Arabidopsis thaliana: one gene and its partners. The protein of the gene in region 2 interacts with the protein of the main gene of each other region in a pairwise test. Each region holds a gene or a part of one and is shown on either strand. Other genes may lie near its edges.

Region 1 (7,313 bases), on a different chromosome or scaffold from region 2:
CAAGAACTGGCGGAATTGGCATGGACAGAGCCGAAAGCACATTGCTCAAGTACTCAATATCTACAGAGAGTTGTTGTGCTCCTCGGTCTGAAATGTATTGGATTCCTCTCAATTGGTCCATGTACAGAGCGGTTGCTCCTTCTGCTACCTGTTGTTTTATTAAAAAAAAAACACTTAGTGGTTAAGGTCTTAGCTTATTGCGATTCGGTTTGACAAAAGCTTAAATTAGACTTACCTTGAACATCCATTCGGTTGCAAAGAATTGTGCATCCTCGTTGTTTGAATCGCCGTTGGTTGAGATGCCTTCAGCTAGAGGCTCAAGCTGCTGCGGCAAAGTAAGGAGATATTCTCCAACACTTGTAACATAAGACTGCGGGTATGAGCTGAAATTTGGTAGAGGAAAAGCAGTTTGTTCCTCGACGGAAGACCAGATTGGTAGGCGAGATACTTCCCCTAGACGTTGCCTGACTTTTGATATAAGGACGTCATAGACAAGTTCATTGACTGTGTCGGCAAATGCAGCAACTCTCTGAGACGCCAAAGGCAGTGCGTGGAATCGTGGATCTTTGGACTGCAAAAAATCAAAGGGAAAAGGGAATCGATACGCATGAAATATCAAATAGTTAATTCAGAAACTTTGTAAATCAAGCCTACAGGTTTTCACTACCTGCTCCAATAGGTTTAATAGTTTGTGAGCCTTCTCCGGAACATCAACCAACCGAATAGCTGCCACATCCATGGAAGCTCGTCCAGCCATAGACAAATCTCCAGCAGTTTGTTCACTTTTCAAATGTGATAGGTTGTGATCCAAATTTGTGCCAAATAATGAAATAGACAAGCTGGAGTTTAGTCTAGCTAGAGTTGCTCTCAAAGAGGCTTCAAAGACAGAAGACCTGCTCGTGAGACAATCAGCTACAGTAAGAATTTGAAGTGCTCCTTGAACAATGGACCATTCCTCATTTGAAGTCAAATCCATCTTGCGAGAGCTCTCCCTTTTCTCTGCACTTGCATCTTTCTTTGAGCCAACTCCATCACCTGTACCATCCACTCCACACACAACTCTCAAAGATTTGAGTGTTTCTTGAAGCATAGAGATATACTGCAACATTATGTCATCTAATGCAAGTATCAGCTCGTCTGCCTCTGACCCTCCAGTAAAGCCAATACACCTTTCAACTGCAGCTTCAAGAAGAACAACAACTTGGGGAATAGACTCTTCCATCCTACGCACTGTTTCACTGAGTTCAATTCCTTGAGCCCCAACACCACGAGTAACAGCCCCTCTCAGATCCACCACTGCAATCTCAGAGGATAAAATAGCACGTTCCATCTTCCCATACCTAAAGCATGATCAAACCTTATGTCACAAACAGCCTTGAAGAACCACGACCCAAAAAAGTTTCATCAAAAAAATGGGACAATCCATAAATACTAGAAATGGATACAAGACATGGGGGAAGAGAAGTACACAACATGAAAACTTACTTTTGCTTAAACGATTCAAAGGGTGAGTACACGGCCTTCAGCGTATCTATTAAGATCCTAAGTTCAGATTCCGCAAACAGGTGCTGAATATTTCTTGCAAAGGAACCAGTTACGTTGTGCAGTTCAATCAGAGCCTCAAGATGCTTGGTCTGAATATTAATACCCTTGGGCAAGTCTCCAGATAATAGATCCATCACACCTGTTCAAGGAAAACATCAGAATTGTCAGTATTCTCCTAAATACACAAAATACAGATATAAGTCAATTGAAGATAATCGTGCATTGTCTGGAAAATTTCCAGTGACTAAATGAAAAATGTAACAAATAAGTTGTTGTTCAAACTTCCTGCAAGTCTCTCTTGCATATTGACAGATTCATGACATCGGCCACTATGCACAAAAATTACAAACTTAACAAGAACAGCCAAAAACTTTAGCTCATGTAAAGGCAGAAAAAAGTGATACTCTTCTTACATCTATCTACCCAAACATGAGGATGGTAGAGTAGAACCACTAAAGAAGCAACGCAATCCCAATTCAGCTGGGTAAAAAGACTAGACTAAGAAGGAAACCTAATAATCAAACTGTACTGACATCATATCTAACCTTTGGCGAGTGCTTTTGTTTCAGGAACAGCATCTCCAGTTGCAAGGTTAAGACGAGAAACAAAACTAGCCCCCAGTACTCCCATGGTCTCAACCAACAGCTTTGGGACGAGAGTCATGTAGTCATCAGGGAAGGCAACCATACACCTAAACAATCATGAAAGCAAAAACGTACAACAGTGATTGATACTTAAAGCTGCAATCACCTAAAGATCTGACATACTGTCACTGGAAGGGCCCGGAAAATATATACAGTTTACTGTAAATAAAAGTAAAACATTTACCATTTCCACTCTTGCTCAAGATAGAGTAGCAACTCGTCGTAAAAGCTTGTCAGCCAACTGGCAAATGATGTCTGAGATGATGTCGACTGAAACTCATCGCCGCTAGACAACCTTTGACTTTCACTTCTCTCATTGGCAAGCTTGTTTGCCCTTTGCTTTGTGTCAAAATCTTCCCAGAGTTGTTTAATCGGCTTTAGACGGACTTTTGAATATTGCAACTCCAGAGACTTGAATCTCCCAATCCGGATGAGAATTACTCGCAAATCTTGGGCGACATCAACCTGCCAAATTTGGGGAAAGGCTTTTCAGTCCAATAATGGCAACAGAGACATTACAACCTAAAGTAGTTGGGTTCTCTAGATATACAGGTTCCAACCTTGTGATATGTTAATGCATCAGTAAGACGTGGCTGCACCATCGCCTCCAGCCTATCTTCCAATACCTCTAGTTGCTTTCTCACATTAGCAAATTCTGCAACCTGTTGACAAAAATTGGACTTTAAGTGGTGACGGAAAAAGACTTAAATCCTCAGAGTACTGAAGCTGACATAAAACTACCTCTCCAACAGCAGACAGGCAATTTCGCATGCTAGCAAGAGTTTCTGCAGCACGAGGAAGATCGCCACTAGCAAATACATCCTCAACCGTCGAGCTTAACTGAGTTAACCCTGCAGCATCCTGTACATATACCAAAAAGAAGAGAATCAATTGCAGATCTACCCCCAAGTGTCCACATAATGGATCACAAAATCACTATGAATACTAACCTGTAGTGTTTTGTAGGCAGCCTCCATTCTCTGTTTGACATTGTCCACTCTAGCAAGCGCAGCTATACAATCTGCTGAAGAACCCTCTGCCTGCAGAGTACCGAATTCGATAAGAGCACAAGTTTCAGGAATTTGATATAATCTAATTTTCGAGAAGAGATCCAAACAAAATCTCAGGAATCAGCACAAATGCGTACCTTCTTGAGCTTCTGGAGGATTCCAGCAACAGAACCACGCAGAGACACAGCATCATCACGGAGACGCAACACGTCTCGTGTGGCACGAGGAACACGGAGGAGAGCACCACCGCTCTGCTCTTCAAGAGAAGCTCCGATCTCCTCGGAGGCAATCTGAAGCTTCATTTCCAGATCCACAAGATGTTTCTCGAGTGAATCCTGTGGGTGACGCGCCTGGCACGACGAGTTAACCCATCGCTTCGCATCGAACTTCTCATCTGAGAATGGACCTAGATCCAGCATCATCCTTGATCCGATCACCCGATTTACCTTAGATTCTCTTCAGCTTCGACGATGATGATGTTGAAGAGAAGAAGATCCTCTGATTTCGCAGATACACTGAAGAAGAAACTAAACCAAATCGATCTAAACCGACTTTCAAATTCGACTTTAAAACCAAACCAAAGTAAACGGAAGATAAATTTACAAATCTGGGCCCCAAAGTGATGGGCCGTCACGGAAAAAGTTTTCTTCTTTCTTTTTCTTTATTTTTCTTTATTTTACTTGGAGACCACGCAGTTCTAGAACCATCCTTAAGCGACTCTCTAGCCTCTAGCAGCTTCTTCTACTCTCTGTTCTATATAAACCTTTCTCTAACAGCTTTTTTTTCGTTCAAAGAGTATAAAAAATATCTCATCGAGCTTGAAAATAATTAATCACTTGCTAATTCTAAGCTTCTTCTCTTTCCAAAAATGGCGTCATCATCGGCTTTAGCTCTCAGGAGACTTCTCTCTTCTTCCACCGTCGCCGTCCCTCGCGCCTTAAGAGCCGTTCGTCCGGTGGCTGCTTCATCTCGCCTCTTCAATACCAACGCCGCCAGAAACTATGAAGACGGTGTCGATAGGAACCATCACTCAAACCGACATGTTTCTCGCCACGGCGGCGATTTCTTCTCACGTAAATCCATGGTTCCTCCGTCCAATTTCGCTATAGATTTTCCCAATTTGATACATGTTTAGTGATTTATGTATAGAGTACATCTAACTTTGTTTTGGAGATCTGTTGAATCTGAAAATTTGGTTGTTTTTTCAAACAGATATACTCGATCCGTTTACTCCAACGAGAAGCTTGAGCCAGATGCTGAATTTCATGGACCAGGTAAGCGAAATCCCTTTGGTATCAGCTACTCGTGGAATGGGAGCTTCTGGAGTTAGACGTGGTTGGAACGTGAAAGAGAAAGACGACGCGTTGCATCTAAGGATAGATATGCCGGGACTAAGCAGAGAGGATGTGAAATTGGCTTTGGAACAGAACACATTGGTGATTAGAGGAGAAGGGGAAACAGAGGAGGGAGAAGATGTTTCTGGAGATGGACGGAGGTTTACGAGTAGGATTGAGTTACCGGAGAAAGTATACAAGACTGATGAGATTAAGGCGGAAATGAAGAATGGTGTGTTGAAAGTGGTGATTCCAAAGATTAAAGAGGATGAGCGTAACAATATTCGTCACATAAACGTTGACTAGAGTGTTTTATTTTGGATTGTTTGAGATGGAATGGAAGTAAGTGAGTGAATTTGTGAACTTTAAGGTGTCCTTTGGTGAATCAAGGAGAATGACATTTCCCACGGTCCTATGTGTTCGGGATTTTGACTTTTTTCGTTACATCAATGATCTATGTACGTTTGACTACTTTCATATCATAGGTTCGGATTTTGTTTCCCAAATTCTTGATATCGGATTCTGGATATGAATATCGTAGCAACTATGATATAGTTGAAGTTATTTGGATATTATTTATGGAGAAAAAGAGTCTGCTAGGACGATTTTCTATCATTATACCTATGGACTATGGTGGTGTTATCAAACATGCTGGACAGAGCCATGATCAACGATACATTCGATGCTCATTCTCGATGTTCAAACTCGGTTTTATAAGGGGATGATACATCAAATTGATACCAAGTAACTGATTTTGAATGTGCTGGAAATGTTGATATAGGTCTCAGCAACCAGAAGAAGGTTGTGGGACAAGACTATTAGAGAATTTTGCTACCGTTTTTTTTTCACCTCTGTTTGGCAAAGCGCGCTCTTTATAGCTTTACTTCTTTGGAACCACTTCGGTGACCATAGAACTCGTTCGTGTCGGCATCGTCAAATTTAAGTAACTTTTTATTTACCGCATGGTTTATTATTTTGAGTTTTTTTCTTCCGCATTTTATATTCTTCATTTTTCCTTGTCCATCGAGAAAGAGAGACAAAAAGAGGACGCAATTGCCGGTGCTGAGGAGAATTTTCCAATCGCGAACTCAGGTTTTGATCCATTTCGCTCTCTGCAGAATCCACCATTATCTTCATATTTTCTTCTATTGACCTCAATCTTTCAGCTCATCTCTCTCCTTTGGTTAATTGAATTTCCCAGTTTCTTCAATTTTACTTATTTAATACATATCTCTCTCAATTGCAGTATCCTATGAACTTCGTGATCATGGTTTTGAATTTTACTTGCTTCGATTGGCCTACGTTATAAAAAAATTGAAACTTTTTAACTCAATTCTCTAACTTACATAAGCTTTTGGTTTGCTTAGCTTATGCAAAATCATGTTGATGCAGGGGACGTCATGCTAAATGAGAATCTGTGGGTTAATTCGGAGTGAGAAGGCTATAATAGTTTCTAATGGGGATAACATATTTGCACATTTCCGTGGCAACAACAGCTTTGAGCTTTGTGGGTTTACAAGTCTGGACGGAGTTGTCTCTTGATAGACTTAGAGCTGATGGGATAATCACCAAGAACATTTCTTTAGGGAATTCTGAGAATACCCTTGAGCTTCTTCTGAGTTCTCACACTACAATTGCATTGCTGGCAAGTTTTGTTCTCAATATCTACATTCTTCTTGTTCTTTCTCTCAAGGTAAGAGTGGTCTTTTACTTCCGAGGTTAAGTTTAAGCAATATTCGTCGGCTAGCTTTATTCTTACGTAGAATAGATATACATCTTTTGAATGGTTCTTTCCTTTAGATGGAATTCAATGTAAAGCTCGTAGTTTGGCTATTAGAAAATACATGAATTATAAGTTTGCACCTGCGGGTTAAGAGTTGTGGTGTAAGAACCAAGTATTTCTGACCTGAAGGATTTAAAAACTCTTGGTTTTCGATAGTTATAAGGCTTCCGTGAAACCAAATACCATGCTATTTGTTGCCTTAAGGGTCTGCACATACTTGTAGGGTAATAATAGACTAGCTGTTTTGGGAAATGTCTTTCAATCATTGTGTGAGGATCTGATAACTCTTAATATTCCCTGCAGACTCTGTTTTTTGGAGATCTATATGCCATTGAAACTAGAAAACTGGTGGAAAGGCTTGCCAATTACATCATTTACAAGGTAGTTTTTTGTACTTTGATGAAAGACAGTAGGGTGCAACGGAAACCAACCCACAATTTCTGTCACTTATATAGTTTTATGATATCTGGGATATTCTATTATCTCCTTTACTGAATATATTGCAAAAAAGGATGAAGACGAAATCCTACTTAAAATGACAAGCATTAATGGTACATGAGCATATATTTCTACCACATTATTCGATTGGATATCTGATCTGTTTGCATAAAATTAAGTTATTTGCAGATGTGTGCCATTTTCATGTTAATAACCTTCTTGGTTACTCCTGTTTTTAGGGCACTTTTCTGCCATTCGTGGTTCCACGAACAGTATTTCAGGGGGTCCTATGGACAATCTGGTTGACTGTTCTGTGTACTCTAAAGGTATGGTATACAGGTTGCATAATTGGCTTTCTTGATTTATGATCAGGAAGTGCTGATTTTTTTTTCTAGACACCCTAATGTGTAGTAAAATGTTGTGTAGATGTTTCAAGCTTTGGCTAGAGATCGGCTTGATCGATTGAATGCATCTCCTTCTTCGACTCCTTGGACATACTTTCGTGTGTATTCAGCACTGTTCATGGTTCTCTCTACTGATTTGTGCTGGTATTTCCTTA
Region 2 (7,109 bases):
TCAAACTCGATATCCTGATTCACATATTTTGATATAGAAATTTGCTTCCCAAATTGAAAACGCGGTCGTTTAATAAACAGGCCAAAAGTAAAGTTCCTTACCAAACTTTTTAATCTAATGGGCCCGTGCGCTAAGATACAGTTAATGGGCAACGCGAATCGGCCCATAAATAAACCACACCACAAGTAGCGGTAACAAGGTAGTTCTATGGGGTAGAAAACGCATCTGAACAGGTAATTATTTGTCCTACAAGGTTCGATCGAATGTTCTCATCTCTTTTTTTCTCTCTGGCTTTCCGATCTTCTAGATTTTCCAAGTCTTGAATGATGAGGAAGGCGAAGGCTGTGGCCTGTGGGTGAGGTCGTGCCAAAGTCTAAGGCTGTAACACGCGTCTGGTGGGACATCAACAGGTGTCCGGTTCCGGCTGACGTTGATGTTCGCAGGGTCGGTCCGTGTATAAAACGGGCTTTGGAGAAATTAGGCTACTCTGGTCCTCTCACCATCACTGCCGTTGGGATACTAACAGACGTCCCTCATGACTTCCTCAGACAAGTCCATTCCTCTGGAATCGCTCTTCATCACGTTCCCACCGGTTTATATCTTCTCATCCTTCATTTTCTAAAATTAGGGTTTTGCTTCTATTTGCCCTTTTTGTTTTTGTTTTTAAGTCTTATAGTTTCCGAAACAGCTCTCTCAGGGATTGGGTGGGCTGTGGTTAAGTGGACCTGGTATAATCAACCTCCGGCTAATTTAATGCTCATATCGTACGAGCATATCTACTTGACCACTCTTGACATGCTAGGTAGGATCGGATACAACACTGTTCGGTCTATTCTTCCAGATGATCCTCAACAAGCCGCATCCTCCGCCTCCCCTTCTACAGGGTCTTTCCTCTGGGAAAGCTTACTGGCAAGCTTACCAGCAGCAGGTCCTTGTCCTCTCTCTCTCTCTCTCACACTCAGTACAGTGTTGAAATAGTTAAGCTGTGTCTGACCTAGTTATCTCCACGGACGCAGATGATATGGATTCAGGGGCACCTCAGGAGGACAAGTGCGGCGAGATGGGTGAACCTGCCTTGCTTTGTGAGCAATGCAGATTTACTGTCCAAGGCTTTGAAAACTTCTCCACGCATCTCAAGAGTGAAGAACATGCACATGAAGTAAGCATCCTAGCCAAAAACGCAGACTTGTTGTGTCCATTTGAGTCAACAACCTCTTACCGCGAGTTTCCCTTTCTCACTTAATTCTTCCAGTTATGTTTTGCCTAAATTTGACCCCATATTTTGTTTTGTCAATGAGCAGTCTCAATACTACCGTAACGAAGATGATGAAACCGATGGAGACGACTACGTACGAGACTCTGAAGACGACGAAGAAGAGTAGTAAGAGTTGTGTGTGTGTTAATGTTATCTTAAGCTATCTAATCCTTTTTATGTTCAACATCTTCTAAATCCTCGTAAACTCTGGTTTTCTTTGTGTGTTAACTGATAATAATGGTGTTATCTTAAGCTATGAGTAGTAGTAAGAGTTGTGTGAGTTAATGTTACTGATTTCTCCAACGAATTTGCTTTTTTGGAGATTTTGTCCCAATGAACTGCAACAACAAAAGCAACTGGTGAGAAAATGATGACTTGTTTGAATTGTGTTAGAGTTCCAGATACATATGCTAGAGATGCAACTAGAAACTGGTCATATCTCAGCTTAAAATAACTACAAAGAGCATAACAAGCTGGCTAATACTTAAAAATGTAAAATCAGATTCAACAGAACCCAATGGTTTTGTGTGTGTTTTCAGACCTTTAGATTTCGCAAAGCCCACCAGAAACAATGGTTGCAAATACTTTCTTCTTTCTCAGTTCTAGTAAACTATAAGCCGAAGCTGTTTTTGCTTGTATTCGTTTGCCCATATTGTGATGGTCTTTAAAGATTGGGCCTTCTTTGGTTCATCTAAATTTGAAGCTTTTTCCTTTTGTTAAATTTGTTGAAACAGTCAAAGTTAGATTAAACCAGGACAAATGAATGAAACGATAAATTCATAACTTTTTACTGCCAGCATTATCAGAAGAATGTCGTTAATGTTGTCTTTTTTTCTTTCACTTCCGTCTGTTTTTTTTGTGGTATTGGTTAATTCGAAAAGATTCGGAACCTATTGGCCGGCAAAAAAGTTATCCAAATGAACAAAAAGAAGAATTACACGTGTCAAGTTCACGAGAAACGACATAATACGTGAACATGAAAATGACAGACAATAAACCAATGAAAATATGACACGTATATTGGTTTCCTATTATTTAACCGTATTTAGCTCATTGTCGCTGTCACTAAAAAGGCTCCTTGTTTTTATCTTGAAGCAGTTAATAATTTACGCCAAAGTCGTCTTTTGCGTTTAAGTTCGCATGCCTAGCTAGTGCCAAAGGTGATCCTATCCGATAAGCTTTGTTTTGGGTAAATTTTTATCTGATAAGGTTACTGTAATTATCGTCAATTACCGCTCTTTTAAGTACTATATTATCACTTAACATTTTTTAAAAAATATGATTGCAGAAAATGTTATATATAAACTAAATCCCTATTTTATCATAACGTCAATTTCAGACAATTAATGAGATATGTAAGCATAAACCATATTCATATTGAACAAGAAAACCTCCGGTTACAATTATATGTGTTGTTTAAAATGGTTACAAAATCGGAAGATTGTTCGTTATGAAAACCTTAAACCATAATTAATACATATGTTAGAAGATAATTAGATAAGTAATCATTTAACTAGATTTATCTAAAAAGTGATTATGTTGTTTTTGTTTGAGAAAACCAAGTAAAGGTGAGTCTTTTCTCCTTTGGGAAAAACAAAAGTAGAATTCAAAAAAGAAAGAAATAGAATTCACTAATTATATAGTAATCCATTAATATTACTGGTTAGAAAGCGTAATTAGCGGCGGTGGTTATCAAAAGTGACTTCCACCATATGTTTCGAAAGCTTGAGTTTCACGAAGAAGATGGAGGAGGGGCAACTTTAGACTAGTGGAGATGAATCGAATGATGATTTATTGTAGATTCTTTGTGGTATCTCATCTTTCCTTCGTATGAGGTGTGATTCACAACAAATACAATTTAACAAAAACTAGTTTGTCTACATTCGGTATGATATAATTAAGGACTTTGTCTCAAACAGATTAAAGTTCTTGTTTCATGATTTTAGATTGTGGATGCCTTGTACCAATCTTCTTGTAGAAATGCCTTCTCCTCCTAGAAGAGAAATTACACCTTACGTGTCGTACATGACTACATGGAACAGTCACTTTGCAGATAGGATATGGTGTTAGACATTTAGCTTGATACAATTAATTAATGTTTAACAACAAGGTTTAAAGGCAACGAGAGCTATATCTAATAAGATGTGGTCTAAGACATATGAGACCTGATACATGGAGAATCACTCATTTATAAATTTCTGGTATATTAACGACATTTTGTGTCTAAAAAATTAGCTATTATAATGAATATGGTCTAAAATTGAATTTAAATTAACAAAACTATCTATAAAGTTTGAAACGATCTTACCTAATCAAAACAAATAATTATCTAAGCAATCTGTTTTGTTTTGTTCGGATTATATAGGTCCCCAAAACGTCATACAATAAAACTTGCTTAAATATTTTGTTTTTTTGTTACATTAAAAAATTAGTATCTTGTTGTGTTTTTGTTTGGTTTGAAAAGCTGAAAATGTGTGAAGGAGAAGAAGGAAGCTATAAAAAAGAGTTTAGGTACAAAAGTAAAAAGTTATTATGTCGGTGGGTTCATTAAAAGAAACCAAAAAACATAAACAAGTAATTTTGTTTTGGCATAACGAAGCATCTTCTTCTTCTTCCTTGTATTTATTATCCATTTCCAGAGATTCTCCCTTGTGAGATAACAACGAAGAACGAAAGAGAGAGAGAGAGAGAGAGATATGATGGACGGCGTTGAAGGCGGCACGGCGATGTACGGTGGTCTCGAGACGGTGCAATACGTACGGACGCATCATCAACATCTGTGCAGAGAAAACCAGTGTACCTCTGCTCTTGTCAAACACATCAAAGCTCCTCTTCATCTCGTAAGCTTCTCCAATCTACCACTAATTTCACCCTTTTCGTACCATTTTCTCCATGATCCGTCAATTTTGATCCCAACCATCGATTTAGGGTTTTTTCCCCCAAATCTCTGTTTAACGATTGATTATAATTGATTTTTTTTAGGTTTGGTCACTTGTACGGAGATTTGATCAGCCGCAGAAATACAAACCGTTTGTGAGCAGATGTACAGTAATCGGTGATCCTGAAATCGGCAGTCTTAGAGAAGTCAATGTTAAATCTGGTCTTCCTGCAACAACATCTACTGAGAGATTAGAACTTCTTGATGATGAAGAACACATCCTCGGTATCAAAATCATCGGTGGTGATCACAGACTTAAGGTACAGCGAGAGAAATCAAATCTCATTGATGTTTGTTTATATGCAGATTCTCATTGATTGTTTGTTTGCAGAATTACTCGTCGATTTTGACGGTTCATCCGGAGATAATCGAGGGAAGAGCAGGAACGATGGTGATTGAATCGTTTGTAGTTGATGTTCCTCAAGGTAACACAAAGGATGAGACTTGCTACTTTGTTGAAGCACTTATCAGATGTAATCTCAAGTCACTAGCAGATGTTTCTGAAAGATTGGCTTCTCAGGACATTACTCAGTGAACTACATAATCAATGAACAAGGGCATTGAAGTGAAGTATCAATTCCAGTTTGTGATATAATCAATATTCTTCAGGATTTTTTTGGTTTGGCCTAGATATATATATAGATATCTATCCTCGGTAATGACCAGTCTAAAAAGATGTACATATTGTCCCAATGGTGAAGTTTTGATGTAAGATATCTCCTGGTGGTTTGTTATTTGTAGATATTTTTGTAAACAATGTAAATGTGAATGGTTTATGATGTATAATATATAGTTCACAAAAGATGTTTCTGTAGACTTCAGATTCCACTTCTCTATTGAACAGAACCTATGATTGGATGCTGAGAACTTGTAAAGAATCTGAGGCAGAAAGTTGAAAAACTGTGTCAATTTCATTAACTTGAAAAGATGAGCATAAATTGGGAGAGAGAGAGAGAGACAAAGATTTTGAATTGAGGTTTAACGGTAAAACACACAAAACCTATTCCCCTCTGTTTCCAATTTTCATCTAAACAAACAGGTACATATTTGAATGTAATATTGTATACAGACCAGGGGTAAAACAGGAACTAAAGAAGGCTAACAATCGAGTCGAACCCTCTATGTGAAGCCACAGGTTTAGTGCAAATTGTAATAAGTTGTTCAGAGAGACTCTTGACTGAAACAAATTGTGAAGCAGATTCGATTTTAAAATCAAAATTTGAGTGTCGAGCGGGAAAGTAAAAGTTCCGCTCCAATCTTCTAATCTTTTCGTATCTAGCGGGAAATTTCTCAGCAGGTGACTTTCATAATCGCAGTTTTCGTCGATTCTCTTTTCCGATTTTACGATTCCTCTCTCTCTCTCATGGTGCGATTTCTCCAGCAGTAAAAATCAATGGCGAGAACCAAGCATCGCGTTACCAGGTCACAACCTCGGAATCAAACTGGTATCTTAAATCTGCTTTCTCTTTCAATTTTTACTTCTGATTTTACCCAGAATTTTAGGTTTTTTATTTCGATTTTGTTAACCCTAGATTTCGAATCTGAAATTTGTAGATGCCGCCGGTGCTTCATCTTCTCAGGCGGCAGGTCCAACTACGGTACGGCATCTTTTTCCGTCTTAGGGTTTCCAATGTTTCTTCCTTTTATCGTTATGATCAAATTTGTTTATCTATCGAAATTGAAGACCCCGACAAGGAGAGGCGGTGAAGGTGGAGATAATACTCAACAAAGTGAGTTTTTTATATTTGAAGTCTTTTTTTTCCCTCTTTTCATCTCTTTTGTTTGTGAAGTTATTCTTTTGTAACATCTGCAGCAAATCCTACAACTTCACCAGCTACTGGTACAAGGGTAAGATTTTTGTGACCATTGCTTATGAACTGCTTCAACTTTGATTTCGTTATTAAGCTGACAAAATTCTCGTTTTGGTTTGTCAAGAGAGGGGCTAAGAGATCCAGACAGGCTATGCCACGAGGTTTGTTTTAAAAAAAAAACCAATCTCTTGTGATATCCCTGAGAATACAGGACACTTAGTGTGTTTAAAACTAATCTTCGGTGTTGTCCTTGTAGGCTCACAGAAGAAGTCTTATCGATACAGGCCAGGAACCGTTGCTCTAAAAGAGATTCGCCATTTCCAGAAGCAGACAAACCTTCTTATTCCGGCTGCCAGTTTCATAAGAGAAGTTAGTTACTCTTTTTCTTACCAGCCATAATAAGTTTCACAGCTTAACAATATTCATATATACTAACAGAGGCACAAGCCTTTTGGTGTTTAATGTGGCTAGTTTTAGGATTTGCACACCCCACACATATCTGAGCATCAATGCAGTGTACATAGTGAGTGATATAGCAATTTAACTAAAATTCAGAGTAATCGTGAGGCCAACCCTCCTTGTTTAAGGAGTGTGTAATCTAGTTTGTCTTTGAGGTTATGAGCTCATAGATTCAGAACCATATGATTCCTGTAGCTACAAAACTCAACATGAATCGTCAGTGATGTGGAAATGCTGATTTGTGTTACAAACAAACTATTTTACATTGTTTTTCCAGGTGAGAAGTATAACCCATATGTTGGCCCCTCCCCAAATCAATCGTTGGACAGCTGAAGCTCTTGTTGCTCTTCAAGAGGTACCAATCCTTCAACTTTTTCTTTATACGAATGTATGAATATAGATATAGAGATAGTCACACATTTCAACTAATGTCATTCCCCTTGATGACCAATCAACCTAATCACACAAATTCTTTGTGGTAGGCGGCAGAAGATTACTTGGTTGGTTTGTTCTCAGATTCAATGCTCTGTGCTATCCATGCAAGACGTGTTACTCTAAGTAAGTACTCTAAAAGAAGACATTTTTCAGTCTCAACTTAGGAATCACAAGCATACATTTTATATCCCTTTGAATCATTAGTTACTTG
Region 3 (6,441 bases), on a different chromosome or scaffold from region 2:
AATCTCATATTCTATCAAAATTTTCATATAATTTGCTCATAGTGATTAGGCAAAAATCTTATAGTTATATTCCTTAATAGCTTATTAAGATGTCAAATTTCTTTTATCATCATCACCATAATTATTAGATACACAAAAAATTAGAAAATCATATTAAGACGTTAATTAGTATTATGCGAATTAGTTGAATATTAGGAATCGGTGAACGTCGTGGAGATACATATGGGTGACGTCACCAATCACGTCGATGTAATTGTCATATCCCATTTCTTCGTGCCTCCAGTGGACCACTTCTACTTATCCCAAGTCAATGGCCGTCGCACCAATGAAACACGTAACGATTATTCCTACTAATTCATTATTCTTGAATCCACCAATATTAGTCATTAAACCCATTAATCTAGGCCAAAGTCTAAGCTATCTCTATTTCCTAAATTGTTCATGGAACTATAGTTAATTAATTACAGTTTGGTCACCCGATATCAAAAGAATTATAGCTTTGTAAACAGTCAAATTCGATAGTCGATATCGTAGACAAATGATTCCAATAATGGTAGATCCTTCTTTTCAAGAGATATCAAAATCAGGGATAAAGTAGCATAAGAAAAAAGCCAAAGAAGAAAAAAAAATCATGAATAATCGTTTGCCCAATTATTACAAAATGCCAAAAAAAGCTGCGACATGAACAAATTCGGAGCGTGGGATGATCACATTTTAGACCATACAATTTGATTGAGTTCCTATACTGTCCAGGTTCAATGTATCTGCTTTCTTGTCCGGTTTAGTCTTCCAAAATTACATACTGGCTCACTTCGGTTTAATTTATTCTAATTTGGTTCAACTTTGTTTAGAATGAAAAAAACACACACACACACATCTTTCTTGAAACAATTGAAGTTTCAATTCATTTTTGGCAGGCATGGTTTACTCCGGTACCGTTGTTGATTAAATAAGAAATGGTAATAATTTTAAATCTACGCATGGCATATTCTCATCGTCAACGGATACTATCTCAAATTTATTATGATCAAAACAGTTAATTAACAGCAAAACAAACAAAATCACGTCAAAATCGAATGTCAATATTCCTCTTAATTTGCCAGCACCACATATCTTCATACTATTTTAAATGATTTTTTTTTATATTAACAAAATAAATATATAATTAAATGAAATAGAAACAGAAAATGACCCTTGAACCAATGGAAAACTTACACAATTTCATGTTTCACGTCCCCTAAAGACTATTGTTATGGTTCCATAGAAAAATCATTGAACCATTCTCTCCTACGGTTTCCATTGACCACAAAAAAAAAATCCTGAAGTTGTGGAAAATTTCCATGAAACTCATGTACCCAAAAACCCTTTATTTTTTTCTACACTCAAGTTTCAATTAACTCTTCTACGATTCCTTTGAAAATTATGGTAATGTAGGATTTCATGGAATTTAAACTTCAAAGTTCTTCGATCCCCTTCGAGTCTCCAATACCTACTAGTTCCATAAAATTATTTTGATAGTTAAGATTGACATTAGATCTCACTCATATATTATTACTTCATTACTTAAACATGGTATCATTCCAAAATATTATTTGCTTCCATAAGAACTTTTGTAATTAAAAGTCAAGACAAAATATGCAACTAGTACCAGAAATACTAATTCATTAGAAATGGAGTTCAACAATTTGTATGATTATCAGAAATTCTAATTTATTCACTAGAAATGGATTCAAACATTTAATTTATGTTGAAAACATAACATATTACCATCGATCTATATACATGTATAGTGATTGTCACATACACAACTATACATAACTTATGAGAAATATCTTATTCTACGAGGAAGAGACGACAGAAGAAGAAGAGAGACGAGAGATTTGATCCATGAGGAAGAGCATGCGATCGTGATAGTCACGTGCCTGTTCTAAAGACTCGACCTCCAGCTCCGCCAGCTGCGAGCAGAGTTGCTCTTCCGCCTCCTCCGCCACAACCGTTCGCTGCCACAACTTAATCATTTCTGTCTTCATCTCCGCCACTTCTCTCGAGAGCTCTATGTTCCTCCTCCTTAGCTCATCCATCTCTTCCGCCGCCACCGTCACGCATCCTCCTCGGTTCGCCATTAAGATTCTTTGTGTAAAAGGATTTGATTGTGGTTCTAACTTTGTTTCTTGATTTGTTGAGTGTTAGGGTTTGATTATGTTTCTTTAATAGGCGCTTTGTGTAGCTTTTGCATGTCCAGGTTCAATGTATCTGCTTCTTGATTTTTATTTCTCCTCACTTTTGATTTCGGTCAATATTTTCTCCTTACTTGAAACTTAAACATACTCATGGCTTATGTATGCATAGACCACCCCAAAAGAGAAAATTTACTATTTTTTTCGAATGTTCAATTTTTTTTTTTCGTTTTTTTATCACAGTTTCGCTAGGTTCGATTTAAATATTTTTTATATGAAACTTAAACCAAATTAATTTCGAAATTTCCGGTTTATCCATGTTATTAACTAGTTTTAACTTTAAAATTAATAAACAAATTGCCGTCTATACAACTATAAATTGATAAATGGATAAATATATGTTAACGTGTAAATAGAATAGTAATTAATAATTCTAATGCCGTGGTTTACACAAATTCAATTTAATTATTTATAAATCTCTGGTCCGTCAAATTTGTAATAAAAATGTGTTGGTCTGATCTCTGATGTATGTATGTGGTATATATTGATTACATTATTGAGTTAGTAGGGCTTGAAATAGGTGACGTCTGAAGCCAATCACTATAGTGTTTCTCACTTTCTTGTGATATTGTGAGTTTGTGACAAGGATTTATTCTTTAGATTATTAACTAACAAGTTAATAATTTGGGAAAACGCTGCCGCTTAATATTGCGTTACTTATATTATGATTGAAGAACTATTATGGGATATTTCACGACATCATACATCTACAACCACTATAAAATAGAAAATTAGTGTACTATCACCAAAAATATATTTCTCCTGTTCCATGAAATTTGATGTTTTAGATTTTTTTTTGTTCCATAAAAATTGATTTCTTAGGTTAATATTATTATTATTTTTATTAATGACTAATAGAGAGAGGAAAGAAGTAGAAATTATATTATTAAATTAACAAAAAAATAATATAAATAACATAAAAGTTAATTTTCTTAATTTGGGTGAAAAACCCAAAACATCATTCTTTTAGGAACATAGAGAATATATAATAGACATTTACAACTTATACATTTGTTGATAACATGCAGTATGTTAGTTTGAATACATATTTTTCACAACAGTAATAATAACAGTTGTTAGAAGACTAAACTACATTGTAAGAATCGCTTTCTCTTGTAATGATACAATATAACATATAACATTTAAAATAAAATAAAAATCTGTAGGTTTTAAAATGTTAGCTACGTAGTCCATAACTTCAAAAAACCAATGGTTTTGAACTCATTCCATAGTGATGATTGCAAATACATATTATCTGGTTTACAAAAAAAAAAAAAAAGTGTTCCAATTATCTAGAAATGTTGGGCCTAATGCTTAAACAGTAAGCCCATATACTTAAACATCCGACTTGGCGCATTTGCTTCACCTTCTCTACCAAAAAAGCGCGTGAGATTCAGGTTCACTGTATACATTAAGAGCCTATTGTCTTGTCTCCTGTAAAACCAGAAGAAAACAAAAATTCAACAAAGGATAACAAGGACGTGGCTATTCTTCATTGGCTGCATTCACAAGAGTCGAATATTAATTAGTAATTTCACAGTATAGTACATTAAGATTAACGAGACCTATTGTCTCCTGTAATTGAGGCAACAAGATAAGGGTAAAACGAGAAAAACAAAAGAGAACAAAGACGTGGCTATTTATCATTGGTTGAATTCAATATTAATTTAATTAGTAATTTCACAGTGTTCTCAAATCGTGATCGTGTGTGTTTCTTCTACCTCTGAAACTCTTTTTGTTTATGTTGATCATCATCATCGTCATCTGCGTGTAAAACACACTCACGCCATCGTTGACGTCTCAGATCTTCACATAAAAGCTTCTATTATCAAACTCTCTTCCTCACGGTAACCCTAACTATCTGTAATTTATCTCTCTACACTTTCTTCATCTCTTAATCACCTTAATCATCTTAAGCTTTGTATTTCTAGATCCTTCTCCCAAAACAACGATTCGTGATCTCCGTTCTCATAGATCAGTTTCGGATTTGGATATTTCTTAGGGATTTGTGTGAGATATTTTTAGAATTGTTTCGATTTAGGGATTTGTGTGAAGAAGATGGATTTTCCAGAGAATTTGCCTTCAGATATAGGAAGATTAGAGCAGATTGTTTCTCATTTCTTCCCAAAAGCATTACACATAGTTCTTAATTCCAGAATCCCTTCGTTGCAATCTCGTGGTCGTACTCGTGAGCGTTTATCAGGTCTTAACGTTAGAAAAAGTGACAAATGGTTTAATCTTGTGATGGGAGATCGTCCTGCTGCGTTGGAGAAATTGCATTCTTGGCATAGGAATATTCTGGATTCTATGATTATTGATATCATTCTTGTCCATCCGATTTCAAACGATAATTTGGATGATGATGATGATCATAGTGATTCTGTTGTTAGATCAGCTGAGACTGTGATTGAGCGTTGGGTTGTTCAATATGAGAATCCTTTGATTATGTCTCCTCAGAGTTCTGACTCTGCAACGCGTTACCAGAAGGTTTACAAGAAATCTATCATTCTGTTGCGGTCTCTTTATGCACAGACTCGGCTTCTTCCTGCTTATCGTGTCTCTAGGCAGCTGAGTTCTTCTCTTGCTTCTTCTGGTTATGATTTGATTTACAAGGTTTCATCTTTCAGTGACATATTCTCTGGTCCTGTGACGGAAACAATGAAAGAGTTTCGTTTTGCTCCTGTTGAAGTGCCTCCTGGTCGTCTTTGTGCATCGGTTACTTACCGTTCTGACTTATCTGATTTTAATCTCGGTGCTCATATCACATTGCCTCCGAGGATTATAACTGATTATGTGGGAAGTCCTGCAACAGATCCTATGAGGTTTTTCCCTTCTCCAGGGAGAAGTGTTGAAGGCCATTCCTTTACTGGTAGAGCTGGTCGGCCTCCATTGACTGGTTCATCTGCAGAACGTCCGCATAGCTGGACTAGCGGCTTTCACAGACCTCCAGCTCAATTCGCAACACCGAACCAATCTTTTTCGCCAGCTCAGTCTCATCAGTTGTCACCTGGGTTACACGATTTCCACTGGTCACGTACAGATGCTTTTGGTGACAATCACCAGCTTTCACCTCCCTTTTCACCATCGGGTTCTCCATCTACTCCAAGATACATATCTGGGGGTAACAGTCCGCGCATTAATGTGAGACCAGGGACTGCTCCAGTGACCATTCCTTCTTCAGCCACGTTAAATAGATACGTTTCATCTAACTTCTCTGAGCCAGGTAGGAATCCACTTCCTCCTTTTTCCCCCAAAAGCACAAGACGCTCCCCTTCATCGCAGGACTCTTTGCCTGGGATTGCGTTGTACAGGAGTTCTAGAAGCGGAGAGTCTCCTTCTGGATTAATGAACCAGTACCCTACTCAAAAGGTTATGCTTCTTACATCTTATGTGTCTTGCTCAATGCAAGAAAAATATCACTATATTTTGTATTGCCTCATCTGATATTTTGTTGATTTATTTATATCTACTCTTCAGCTGTCAAAGGACAGCAAATACGATTCAGGCCGCTTCTCAGGAGTTCTGTCTTCGAGTGACTCACCAAGATTCGCGTTTTCTAGGAGCCCCAGTAGATTATCTTCCCAAGACGACTTGGATGACCCTGATTGTTCATGCCCTTTTGATTTCGATGATGTTGATGAGTCAGGACTTCAGTACAGGTTGGCTTTATCCCACTACCTAACTTGAATCATTCAAAGGAAATATTATATACTTGGATTAGTTTACAGAAATCTTTACACATAGAGCTGGTCAATGACAAGATGCCATGAAGAAAACACTAATGTGTTGGCTGTTTTGTTTAATGTGAAATTGTTGGCATTCACACTCTATACTTGGCCTTTCTCTTACTGTTTCTTTATCATTTTTTGGTCTGTCAAGTTCACTTCTTCTTGGGTTTTTTAGTCTTTGGTAGTAAGAAAATGACAGATATTTTGCAATTTTTTCGATGCAGCCATAGTCTTGACCGGAGGAAAACTTCAAGCTCTATATCGCAGTCGCTACCTCTAGGGAGAAGATCATCACAGGACGCAGCGGTTGGTGTTCTGGTTCACATGCTGAAGACAGCACCACCATTACGACAAGACTCAAGCACTTATATGGCGTCAATGTCTGGGGTTCAGAGAGAAGGTTCAGTGTCAGGTACAGAATCTGAATTTTCGATGGCTCGTAGCACATCAGATGCACTAGAGGAACTGAGAAACTA
Region 4 (9,799 bases), on a different chromosome or scaffold from region 2:
ATCAGCTTTTTAAAACCAAATATAAGTAAAAAAATAATTATTAAGTTTAGAAAATAACACACCTTTTTCGATATGGTAAAAACGTTAAAAATAAATTCAACCAAAAATTAATACAAATTTTTAAAAAATAAAAAATATTAGAGTTATATTTCACTAAATTATTTTAAATATAATATTTTACATACCTAAATTACTATAGAATAATTTGGTGTGTACATATATGATATATAGAATAATATTTTATATTCATATTATATATAAATGATATATGTATATATATATTGATAAGTTTATACAATTATTAATTTATGATATTAATGAGATTTTACATAGAATTTTCAAAAAAAATATTATCTTATTATTTTATCAATTTGTGTCAATTTTTACATGGATCGGACCGAAATTTTTTATTAATTTATAAAATTTATTAATTAATCGAACATTAATTTATATAGTTTTTTGCTGTATTTTAGTGTATTTTTCTCTCAAACCGGTTAATATCAGATAACCGAAAAAACATGGGTTTGGTCTGCTCTAAAAATCTAATTACTTTTCACAGTTCCGACGGAACCGCCGCAGCTGTAGTCATCAACAAGCGCAATTCTCTAACAAAGTAACAAAGAGGAGGTATTTGTCAATCAATACCTTTCTTCGTCGATTCCCTTAGCTGATGTGTTGTTATTTTCGAATTTGATTTGTTGGAACACACTTCGAAGCTTGGGATCTGAAATATCTGATTCTGACTGTATACTGTAGTCAAAGATGGGCAGTGAAAGTGATAAAGGTAGAGAAGCAATTGTTGAAGAAGAAGAAGAAGAGATAGTCTGCTTGGAGTCTTTCTTCATCAACGATGAGTAATTTTGTTACACAAACAAATGTTTGTTTTATTTGGTTTTTAAACTTAGATCAAGTGTCTGCTTTTGGTTTTCTCAATATACATGTTTGTTTTGTCTTTGTCGGATGCAGTTATCAGTTGACGAAGTTTACGTTTGGTTCTCATGTTCTTGAGCTCTACTGTCTCCAATCAGCTTCAAGTGAGTTTCATCTTTATTTTGATTTTTGTATCAATGTTGCATTGTATTTTTGTTCTTTAGATAATAAAGGAGCAAACTTTATTGGTTAAGTTTTGAGGTTTGTGTTATAAGTAAGCTGATTAACAAAGATTTTATTGGCCATGGAGAACTTTTGTTGTTTCTATACTCTTCGAATCTTCATATAGTTATCATTAGTCAATCTTGTGTCACTGAGCTATATTCTAGGCTGGTGTATTCTTTGAACTTTTATTGCCATTGGAAGACTAAATATGAGATTCAGATACCCTTTTTGTGAATTTCTTCATCAATTATTTTTGACTATGAACTGTTTATATGCTCTTGAAATAGTCAATCTGGAGTTACTTATCTGTATTCTAGGCTGGTGTATTCTTTTAACTTCTAATGCCATTGAAAGACTAAATAAGAACAATGAGTTCAGAGATATATTTTTTTTTTTATCTAAACCCTTGTAGTGTTTATCATAAAGCTATGTCTAAAATGTTTCTTGGACAGCTGATTTTGATTTAACAGGGCAGCTGGTTTGGCCTGGTGCGATGCTTATGAATGGTTATCTCTCAGAAAATGCTGACATTCTCCAGGGATGTTCAGTTTTGGAGTTGGGATCTGGCGTTGGTAAGTGCTGTTTATTTCCCCCTACCATTTTCCATTTCGATTGGACCACTCTCACACTCTGTATGTATCTTGTTTATCCTAGTATGTAATGGCTAATCACTACTTGTGCATGCGTCTTCAAATTTCAGTTAGAGATGTTATGTATTGTAACATCATCACTCCCTGTTAGATATGCTGTATATACAAATATGGTCTTTGCATACTCTGCTTGGCTGACTTCACCATCATTCACATGTATAAACTCTTATATTTGTGCTCTTTCTTTTGTCTTTGAGAACATACTGTTTTTATTTTTTTCCGGTTTTCGTTCCTGTGTAAAACTGATCTGTAATCTTTTATAACACAGGTATAACTGGAGTCCTATGTAGCAAATTTTGCCGTAAAGTTATTTTTACTGACCACAACGATGAAGTGCTCAAGGCAAGATTACGTTACTGAAGATTTGATATGGGAATTCAACATTGGTAGAATATAATGAGGTCTTTTAAATGAACTTTTCAGATACTGAAGAAAAACATTGACCTTCATGGACATTCAAGTGGTCCCAAACCCTCAGCTGGTGAGAAAGAAAATCAACTAAGCTATTGACTCTCATTGTTCATATTATTGATGTGTTCTGTTTCTCATTTCTACCTACAGAATTAGAGGCTGCAAAGCTTGAATGGGGAAATAGTGATCAGCTTGGTCAAATTTTAAAGAAACACAATGATGGCTTTGATCTTATTCTTGGAGCTGATATCTATATCCTTATGTTCGTTAACGAATTCTTTATCTATCCGCTAGGACAGTGGTTGATCTTAGTTTTATCCGTAGTTGAAGTTTTGGTCCGGATCTTCTGTTCAGTTTTCATCAGTTAAACCGTCATGGGCACTCCTATAATTTACACCGGAATGAAAAAGAAAACCTTGACATTACGTAAGCTTTCAGCAATCAAGTGTGCCATTGCTATTTGACAGTGTTGAGCAGCTTCTGCGGATCAGGGGACAAGGAAACTGCAAATTCATACTAGCATACGTATCACGGGCTAGACAGTAAGTTTGTCAGCTAAAACTTTTGCATTTTTCTCATATAAGTATAACTGCAAGTTTCATACGAGTCAGAGAATAAACTATCTGAAACGTTATTTCAGGATGGATTCTGCAATCTTGAGAGAAGGCGCTCAGCACGGGATGCTGATGAATGAAGTTTCTGGGACTCGGTGTACCGTAGGAAACTTGGAAGGGGTCATATATGAAATCACACTTCAAAAGAAGAGAGGAATTGTGTTCGAGTAACTTAGTTCCTTTGATACCTCAGAATTTTGTAACATTATTTTTATGTTATTTAGATGCATACATTTTTGGTGAAACGTTTACTAAAGTTACAGTTCAAAAAGTATACAATGACATTTGTGGATGCTTTGAAGTGAATCCACATTGTTAGCTGAAAAACTGTTGCAACTATCATATCTCCTTTATGATAGTTGTCATGTCCAATTTCTTGACTTCACCTACTTATCAGTTTTCATGTATATCATTCTTTTTGTTTTCCACATCAATGGATCATCTTTATCCTGCGTGACTTTAAAAGTAAATATTTTTCAGTCTTATTTTATCTTCTATATTATTTTTCAGTTTTTTTTTTTTATCTTTTACATTATTTTTCAGTCTTATTATATCTTCTATATTATTTTCATTCTTATTTTTCTTTTGTCGGTATTTTCATTCTTATTTTATATTCTAAATCATTTTTCAGTCTTATTTTATTTTCCCTATTATTTTTCAGTCTTGTTTTATATTCTACAGTATTTTCAGTCTTATTTTATCTTCTTTGTCATTTTCAGTCTTTTTTATCTTCCATATTATTTTCAGTCTTATTGTATCTTCCATATTATTTTCAGTCTTATTTTATTTATCTCTTACATTATTTTTCAGTCTTATTTTATCTGAAAGTGTCATTTAGGTAGGTGCAGACTGAAGATATTGGGACTTTAGTTGATATTCGAAAAAAAAAGATATTGGGACTTAAGTTTGCAAAGTTTTACTACTATAGTAATATCGTAAGTACGTAAAAGATATATTTTACTAATGTTTTAACAAATCGTTTAATATCATAAAATAAAATAACCATGTTATTTATTTTTGGGGAAAGTATTTAATAAAAATACACCACATAATTTCTATTCCCACAAAAAAATACACGATCTATTTTTTCGTAACAAGAAATATAGGCTTTTTTTTTTACTCATTTTAGTATTTAAAGTTTAAACCAATATTATTTATTTAAAACAAGGACTACCACACACCACTTGGTTAGGGTCAATTTTATTCAAATAAATTTCCACCATATAATAACTTAAGTTACACTATACAGTTTACTCAATTAAAAATTTGTTGTCCAATCAGTAAAGAAGGAAAGAAAAAAAACATGTTATAAATTGATTGAGGTCTAAATTAAATGTTGGTCATCTTCCAACTCCAAAAGGACCCCTCCCAACCAGAATTAGTGGAGATAAACTTGACGCGTCCCTTCTTCATTCTCCGTCTTCTTCACGTCACCGGAAAAACGACGAATCTCATTGCCTGAGATTCTTCATCGGAATTAAACCTCCGGAGGAATTAATCACGGTAAATTTCAGACTCTTCGTTATCTCTTACGCTGATCGAATTCAATAGAATGTTAGGGCTGATCACAAAGAGCGATGATTTTTGCAGCACGATTCTGTTCTAATCGGAGAACATTTTTCCTAATTTTGTGAAATTCATGTTGAATTTATTGATTTTCCGGATAATTAGTAGAGAATCGATTTTGGAATTTGAATGATAATTTGTGGTATATTTGAACATATTTTTTGAGCAATGGACCTGACCATTTTCTCCAGAGAACTCAAACTATTGCTGAAAAATGCAATGGAATGGGGTGAGACGAGCCCATTCTATATGGTGCAAGAGATTAACAAACAACACTCATTTGCATCATCCTTCTATTCCAGTCTCACATTTTTTCACCATGTCGAGTTTGGAGGAGCCGCTAAGCTTTGACAAGTTGCCAAGTATGAGCACTATGGATAGGATTCAGAGATTTTCTTCCGGTGCTTGTCGCCCCAGGGATGATGTCGGTATGGGACACCGTTGGATTGAAGGAAGAGATTGCACTACCTCTAACAGTTGCATGTGAGTTTGAAAATATATATCAATCTTTGTTTTCCTTTCATATGACAACTTTTTGTTTCTTATGCTCTTGAAATGTATGTTAACTTACAGTGATGATGATAAAAGCTTTGCTAAAGAGTCATTCCCGTGGAGAAGGCATACTCGGAAATTATCTGAAGGAGAGCATATGTTTAGGAATATTTCGTTTGCTGGAAGGACTTCTACTGTTTCTGGGACTTTAAGGGAATCCAAAAGTTTTAAGGAGCAGAAGTATAGCACATTTAGCAATGAGAATGGCACGTCGCATATAAGTAATAAGGTAATTGTCTCGATGGAGGAAAGTAGTTTTTGACCTCTATATAAAACATATCCACAGATACCTCGTTCCCCGTCTATGTAGGATAGTTTTGTATAATGATTCATCTTTTTCATTTCTGTTTAAAATTTCCCACTACAACCACCATTTTTTTTTCTCTCTTATTCTGTTTTTTTTCTGTTTGGAATTTAGATCTCTAAAGGTATACCAAAGTTTGTGAAGATTGTAGAAGTTGGTCCAAGAGATGGCCTGCAGAATGAGAAAAATATAGTACCCACATCTGTAAAGGTGGAACTAATTCAGAGATTAGTTTCTTCTGGATTGCCTGTTGTCGAGGCTACAAGTTTTGTATCACCAAAGTGGGTTCCCCAGGTAATGCTGTTATGCTGGTGTATATAAATTATATCTTTCCTGAACTTTCCTGTTTGGTGTATTGTATAATTAAGCATATAAAGCGACCACTTTGAAGAAATGACTATATTATATTGTAGATAGACTTTTAGAAATTTCTCATAAAAATGGAACCCTTCGTAGAGTTAGCTGCAACTAAATAGTTTTTCAAGATGCAACAATATATTTCTTAGTTTGTTTTGTTGGGATTTGCATCTCACCAGTAGTGTACTTAGGAACCTGTGTTGAAAAAAATAAAACTGGCAAACAGTGTCTTATCACACATCTTACGGTCTTGCGTGTGCCTAAATTCAAACTGAGCACCAAGCATCCATTTCTGGGAATTTCTATTGGTTACAATCAATGGTTATTGCTACAAGATATTCAAATTGCTTTTGATAGGTAAAATAATGGGGAAAACCATTTTCCAAGTAGAGGAAGTATGGTAGCATTTAGAGTATAGAAACAATATCTGTAGTGGATGCTTATGTAAAACTAATCTGACTGAACAGACATTTATACTATTTCGCCTTGTAGCTTGCAGATGCAAAGGATGTAATGGATGCAGTAAATACTTTAGATGGGGCTCGATTACCGGTTCTGACACCGAATCTAAAAGTCTGTATCATATATTTCTTAAGGCTCTCCAACAATTCTTGGTTTCTTGGTGTTGAACACTAACATGGGGTGCTTGCTTCTTTTTAGGGCTTTCAAGCGGCTGTATCTGCAGGTGCAAAGGAAGTTGCAATCTTTGCATCGGCTTCTGAGTCATTCTCCTTGTCAAATATTAACTGTACCATCGAAGAGAGTCTCTTGAGATATCGTGTTGTTGCCACTGCTGCAAAGGAGCATTCGGTTCCAGTCCGTGGGTATGTTTCTTCTAATTTTTCTTACTTGTGTACACTATGTGTTCCTCCTAGATGGCATCTATCAAGAATGGTGCGGGAATATAATGTAACTATTTACCTAATCAAGTTTTCGTTCCTCTGTGCTGGAGGAAATCATAATTTTACACATTAAACTGTGCATGGATCCAAAATCCTATGTTGTGTTTATCTCAGTTGTGTGTTTAATGTACGTGTAACAATATGGATTTTGGATCATGTACAGTTTTTCTAGTCCGAACTTCATTTACTATCAAGCTTCTTCAAGTAGTTCAGTTCTGGTTTAGTGCATCATATTATGGACCCATTGAGTGTTTTTTTTTGTGGTAGAATAGAATTAACCTTTTTTCCAATCTCCGACCCTAACAAAACACTAATAGAAGAAACAGTTGGTTCTAATAACAGTCTATGATTATTTCCCAATATTGAAGGTATGTATCTTGCGTTGTGGGGTGTCCAGTAGAGGGACCTGTTCTACCCTCAAAAGTGGCTTATGTTGTGAAAGAACTCTATGACATGGGCTGCTTTGAGATTTCTCTGGGTGATACAATTGGAATCGGCACTCCTGGTAATTTCGTTACTGAAAATCTTGTGTAGTTTATTCAATTACGCATGTGCACTGTATGTGGGAGTGATAAACTCTGAAGACATTTAGCAGCTCTGTTATTATCTATTAGACTGAATGTAGATGAATAAAGCGGTTGTTAGTTGGTTAGAGAGTAGATAGGGAGGGCTGGATTTATGCGCATTTTCGTTGAGAGTTGAGTCTCTCATTAATCAAGTCCCTCTGTTTGGTGAATTGAACAAATCAGGTTCTGTGGTTCCAATGCTTGAAGCCGTGATGGCAGTTGTGCCAGCGGACAAGCTGGCTGTTCACTTCCATGATACCTATGGGCAAGCTCTTGCAAACATATTGGTGTCTCTCCAGGTAAGTCAAGCACTAATAGAAGAATATTTGATTATAAATATAACTTCATTTATGGTTTGACATGTATTGGTGCAAAAACAGATGGGAATAAGCATAGTAGACTCATCAATTGCCGGATTAGGCGGCTGCCCATATGCAAAAGGAGCTTCAGGAAATGTAGCCACAGAAGATGTGGTTTACATGTTGAACGGTTTAGGCGTCCACACCAATGTCGACTTGGGAAAGCTTATAGCTGCTGGAGATTTCATCAGCAAGCATCTCGGTCGTCCCAATGGTTCGAAGGCTGCCGTTGCCCTCAACCGTCGTATCACAGCTGATGCCTCCAAGATATGAGTTTTATTAGACCATCTCCAATGTATAGCTCTATATCTTACTCGAAAATAGAGTTACTCTCTACAATTTATCCCTCTATTTTCTACTCTAAAAAGAATATTCTTAAAAAATATTCTATTTCTATTTTATATACTAATACATTTTATTTATCTAATTTACAATTTGACCCCACATATTATAGTTTTGCAAAGTTTCCATAAAATATAATATTATTTACATTACACTCATTATGTATATATACATATAAAATTATGCTTTGAATGAGCTAAAGAAAAAGAAAAAAAATATTTTGTAATTGGAATTCCTTTAAAAAACAAATGTTATGGTATATTTTGAGACTGAACAAGCACGAATTTTACAAAAACGACGTGTCCAACAACAAGATCAAAATCAATAAACTCCTTTTCCATCTATTTCATTTGGACAATGTTTTCACTATCTTCGCGGATCTACAATCAGTTTACCAGAATATTAAATTACTAGTTTTATGATTTAGTTTTGTTATGTTGTTTATTTTCGCTACCAATTTGGTATTCTTTTTCGTCATTTTTATAACAAATGAACTACCACCCAACTTTATTAAAGTCATGCTTCCTACTCATTTTTCAAATTTCAACAAAATAATTTCTTTGTGGATTGAATAATTTATGTTAGTTTCTAAAAATTTGAATAATAACATATGTTAAAGATCTCGATGAGGGTAATGAAATAGACAATCTCGGAGGCAAAAACCAAGCTGTGGCTGGGTGAAGTGTAACTCGATGAGATTAAAGCCAGTTGGATCATCAGAGATAGTAATGGAAATTACTTGAGCTCAGAACATAACATTGGATAAGATGCGTCTAGTGCGTTAGAAAGTGAGTTCAAGGCTCTCATATTGGCTATGCAAAACTATTGGATACAACAGGTTGTATTTGAAAGTGACTGTCGACAACTGAATGACCTTCTTACAAAGAAGACAACGAACTTTGAGATTGGTTGCGAGAAATTCAGTTATTGACACAAAGGTTCAAAGAGTTACAATTTGAATGGATCAGAAGAGAGTCAAACAAACGTGCTGACATCCTATCAAAACAAAGTCTACAAGACAATGTGCTTTCAATCTTCCATTTCTATGTACCAAGCTCTATTAGAGAGGTTTTACAATGTGATAACTCTGTCGTCTAATTAATAATATCTCAAATGTTCCAAAAAAAAAACATATGCAAAAGATCTATTTTTATTTTATTTTTTTTAATGGTTACATGATAATTCAATTTCTACAAAACAAAGGATCAAAGAAATATCAAATATATATATATATATTTTTTTTTTTTGGGCAAATGAAATATCAAATATTTATTTCTTCAATTTGATTGGCAATTAAATACATTTGGAACTAATGGAAAAAATCCATAAACCAATTTTAGACTTACTAGCTAATTTAAATGGATCGGAGTGTTCTGACCAATGTTATGGGTTTAGGGTTTAAAGATTCTCTCATCTTCTTCGATTACTCTGTCAATCAAATCCGCCATTTTTGATGCGGTTTTCTCCAACCTTCTTCTTACTCTCACAATTGCGATTGACTCGACGAAGAGCAGCCACCTCTTCGCGTTTCTACGCCGTCTCTGCTCTCAACAATCCTAATAATCTCTCAGACTCTGAGCAGCAGCAGGTGAATCATCTTAATCTCTCCAAGCTTACTCAACATGGTCTTCAGCGACTCCTGAATAGTACCAGAGATGACCCAAATCTCGCTTTGTCGTTTTTGCGACAGCTTAAGGAACATGGTGTGTCCCCTAATGTCAATGCTTACGCAACTCTTGTCAGAATTCTTACTACTTGGGGTTTGGACATCAAGTTAGATTCTGTTTTAGTTGAACTAATTAAGAACGAGGAGCGTGGTTTCACTGTAATGGATTTGATTGAAGTTATTGGTGAACAAGCTGAGGAAAAGAAACGATCATTTGTTTTGATTCGAGTCTCTGGTGCTTTGGTTAAAGCTTATGTTAGTCTTGGTATGTTCGACGAAGCTACCGATGTTTTGTTTCAGAGTAAACGGTTGGATTGTGTTGTCGATATAAAGGCGTGTAATTTCTTGATGAATCGTATGACTGAGTTTGGGAAAATTGGTATGCTGATGACTTTGTTTAAGCAACTTAAGCAGT

The links.
Region 1: the proteins of RCAR1 (region 2) and AT5G51440 interact in binary tests that used the Arabidopsis thaliana proteins (3 or more experiments, as listed by UniProt).
Region 3: the proteins of RCAR1 (region 2) and LSU1 interact in binary tests that used the Arabidopsis thaliana proteins (3 or more experiments, as listed by UniProt).
Region 4: the proteins of RCAR1 (region 2) and AT2G26800 interact in binary tests that used the Arabidopsis thaliana proteins (3 or more experiments, as listed by UniProt).

What each region holds. Positions count from the first base shown.
Region 1 is NC_003076.8:20,887,175-20,894,487, forward strand, and holds AT5G51440 (HSP20-like chaperones superfamily protein), read left to right. Parts: upstream 1-3,988; 5' UTR 3,989-4,067; coding exon 4,068-4,272; intron 4,273-4,411; coding exon 4,412-4,839; 3' UTR 4,840-5,242; downstream 5,243-7,313. Other genes in the region: EYE (conserved oligomeric Golgi complex component-related / COG complex component-like protein), read right to left, coding at 1-148, 236-571, 668-1,340, 1,486-1,684, 2,091-2,236, 2,374-2,654, 2,750-2,851, 2,931-3,050 and 2 more; RIN3 (RPM1 interacting protein 3), read left to right, coding at 5,990-6,226, 6,620-6,697, 6,994-7,080, 7,181-7,302.
Region 2 is NC_003070.9:138,187-145,295, forward strand, and holds RCAR1 (regulatory component of ABA receptor 1), read left to right. Parts: upstream 1-3,683; 5' UTR 3,684-3,951; coding exon 3,952-4,095; intron 4,096-4,237; coding exon 4,238-4,453; intron 4,454-4,524; coding exon 4,525-4,728; 3' UTR 4,729-5,075; downstream 5,076-7,109. Other genes in the region: AT1G01355 (Putative endonuclease or glycosyl hydrolase), read left to right, coding at 327-355, 411-592, 677-928, 1,017-1,159, 1,302-1,382; HTR12 (Histone superfamily protein), read left to right, coding at 5,587-5,638, 5,748-5,791, 5,878-5,923, 6,007-6,041, 6,129-6,165, 6,261-6,373, 6,741-6,818, 6,946-7,021. UniProt on the Arabidopsis thaliana protein: Receptor for abscisic acid (ABA) required for ABA-mediated responses such as stomatal closure and germination inhibition.
Region 3 is NC_003074.8:18,373,597-18,380,037, forward strand, and holds LSU1 (response to low sulfur 1), read right to left. Parts: upstream 2,345-6,441; 5' UTR 2,124-2,344; coding exon 1,839-2,123; 3' UTR 1,637-1,838; downstream 1-1,636. Other genes in the region: ATG13 (Autophagy-related protein 13), read left to right, coding at 4,296-5,665, 5,729-5,896, 6,190-6,441.
Region 4 is NC_003071.7:11,427,042-11,436,840, reverse strand, and holds AT2G26800 (Aldolase superfamily protein), read left to right. Parts: upstream 1-4,043; 5' UTR 4,044-4,273; intron 4,274-4,280; exon of another isoform or gene 4,281-4,527; 5' UTR 4,528-4,550; coding exon 4,551-4,819; exon of another isoform or gene 4,820-4,880; coding exon of another isoform or gene 4,881-4,909; coding exon 4,910-5,117; intron 5,118-5,306; coding exon 5,307-5,486; intron 5,487-6,041; coding exon 6,042-6,122; intron 6,123-6,209; coding exon 6,210-6,373; intron 6,374-6,819; coding exon 6,820-6,956; coding exon of another isoform or gene 6,957-6,985; exon of another isoform or gene 6,986-7,200; coding exon 7,201-7,316; intron 7,317-7,397; coding exon 7,398-7,649; 3' UTR 7,650-7,822; downstream 7,823-9,799. Other genes in the region: AT2G26810 (Putative methyltransferase family protein), read left to right, coding at 763-854, 967-1,034, 1,548-1,667, 2,014-2,087, 2,169-2,226, 2,307-2,408, 2,587-2,698, 2,797-2,941; AT2G26790 (Pentatricopeptide repeat (PPR) superfamily protein), read left to right, coding at 9,172-9,799. UniProt on the Arabidopsis thaliana protein: Involved in the catabolism of branched amino acids such as leucine.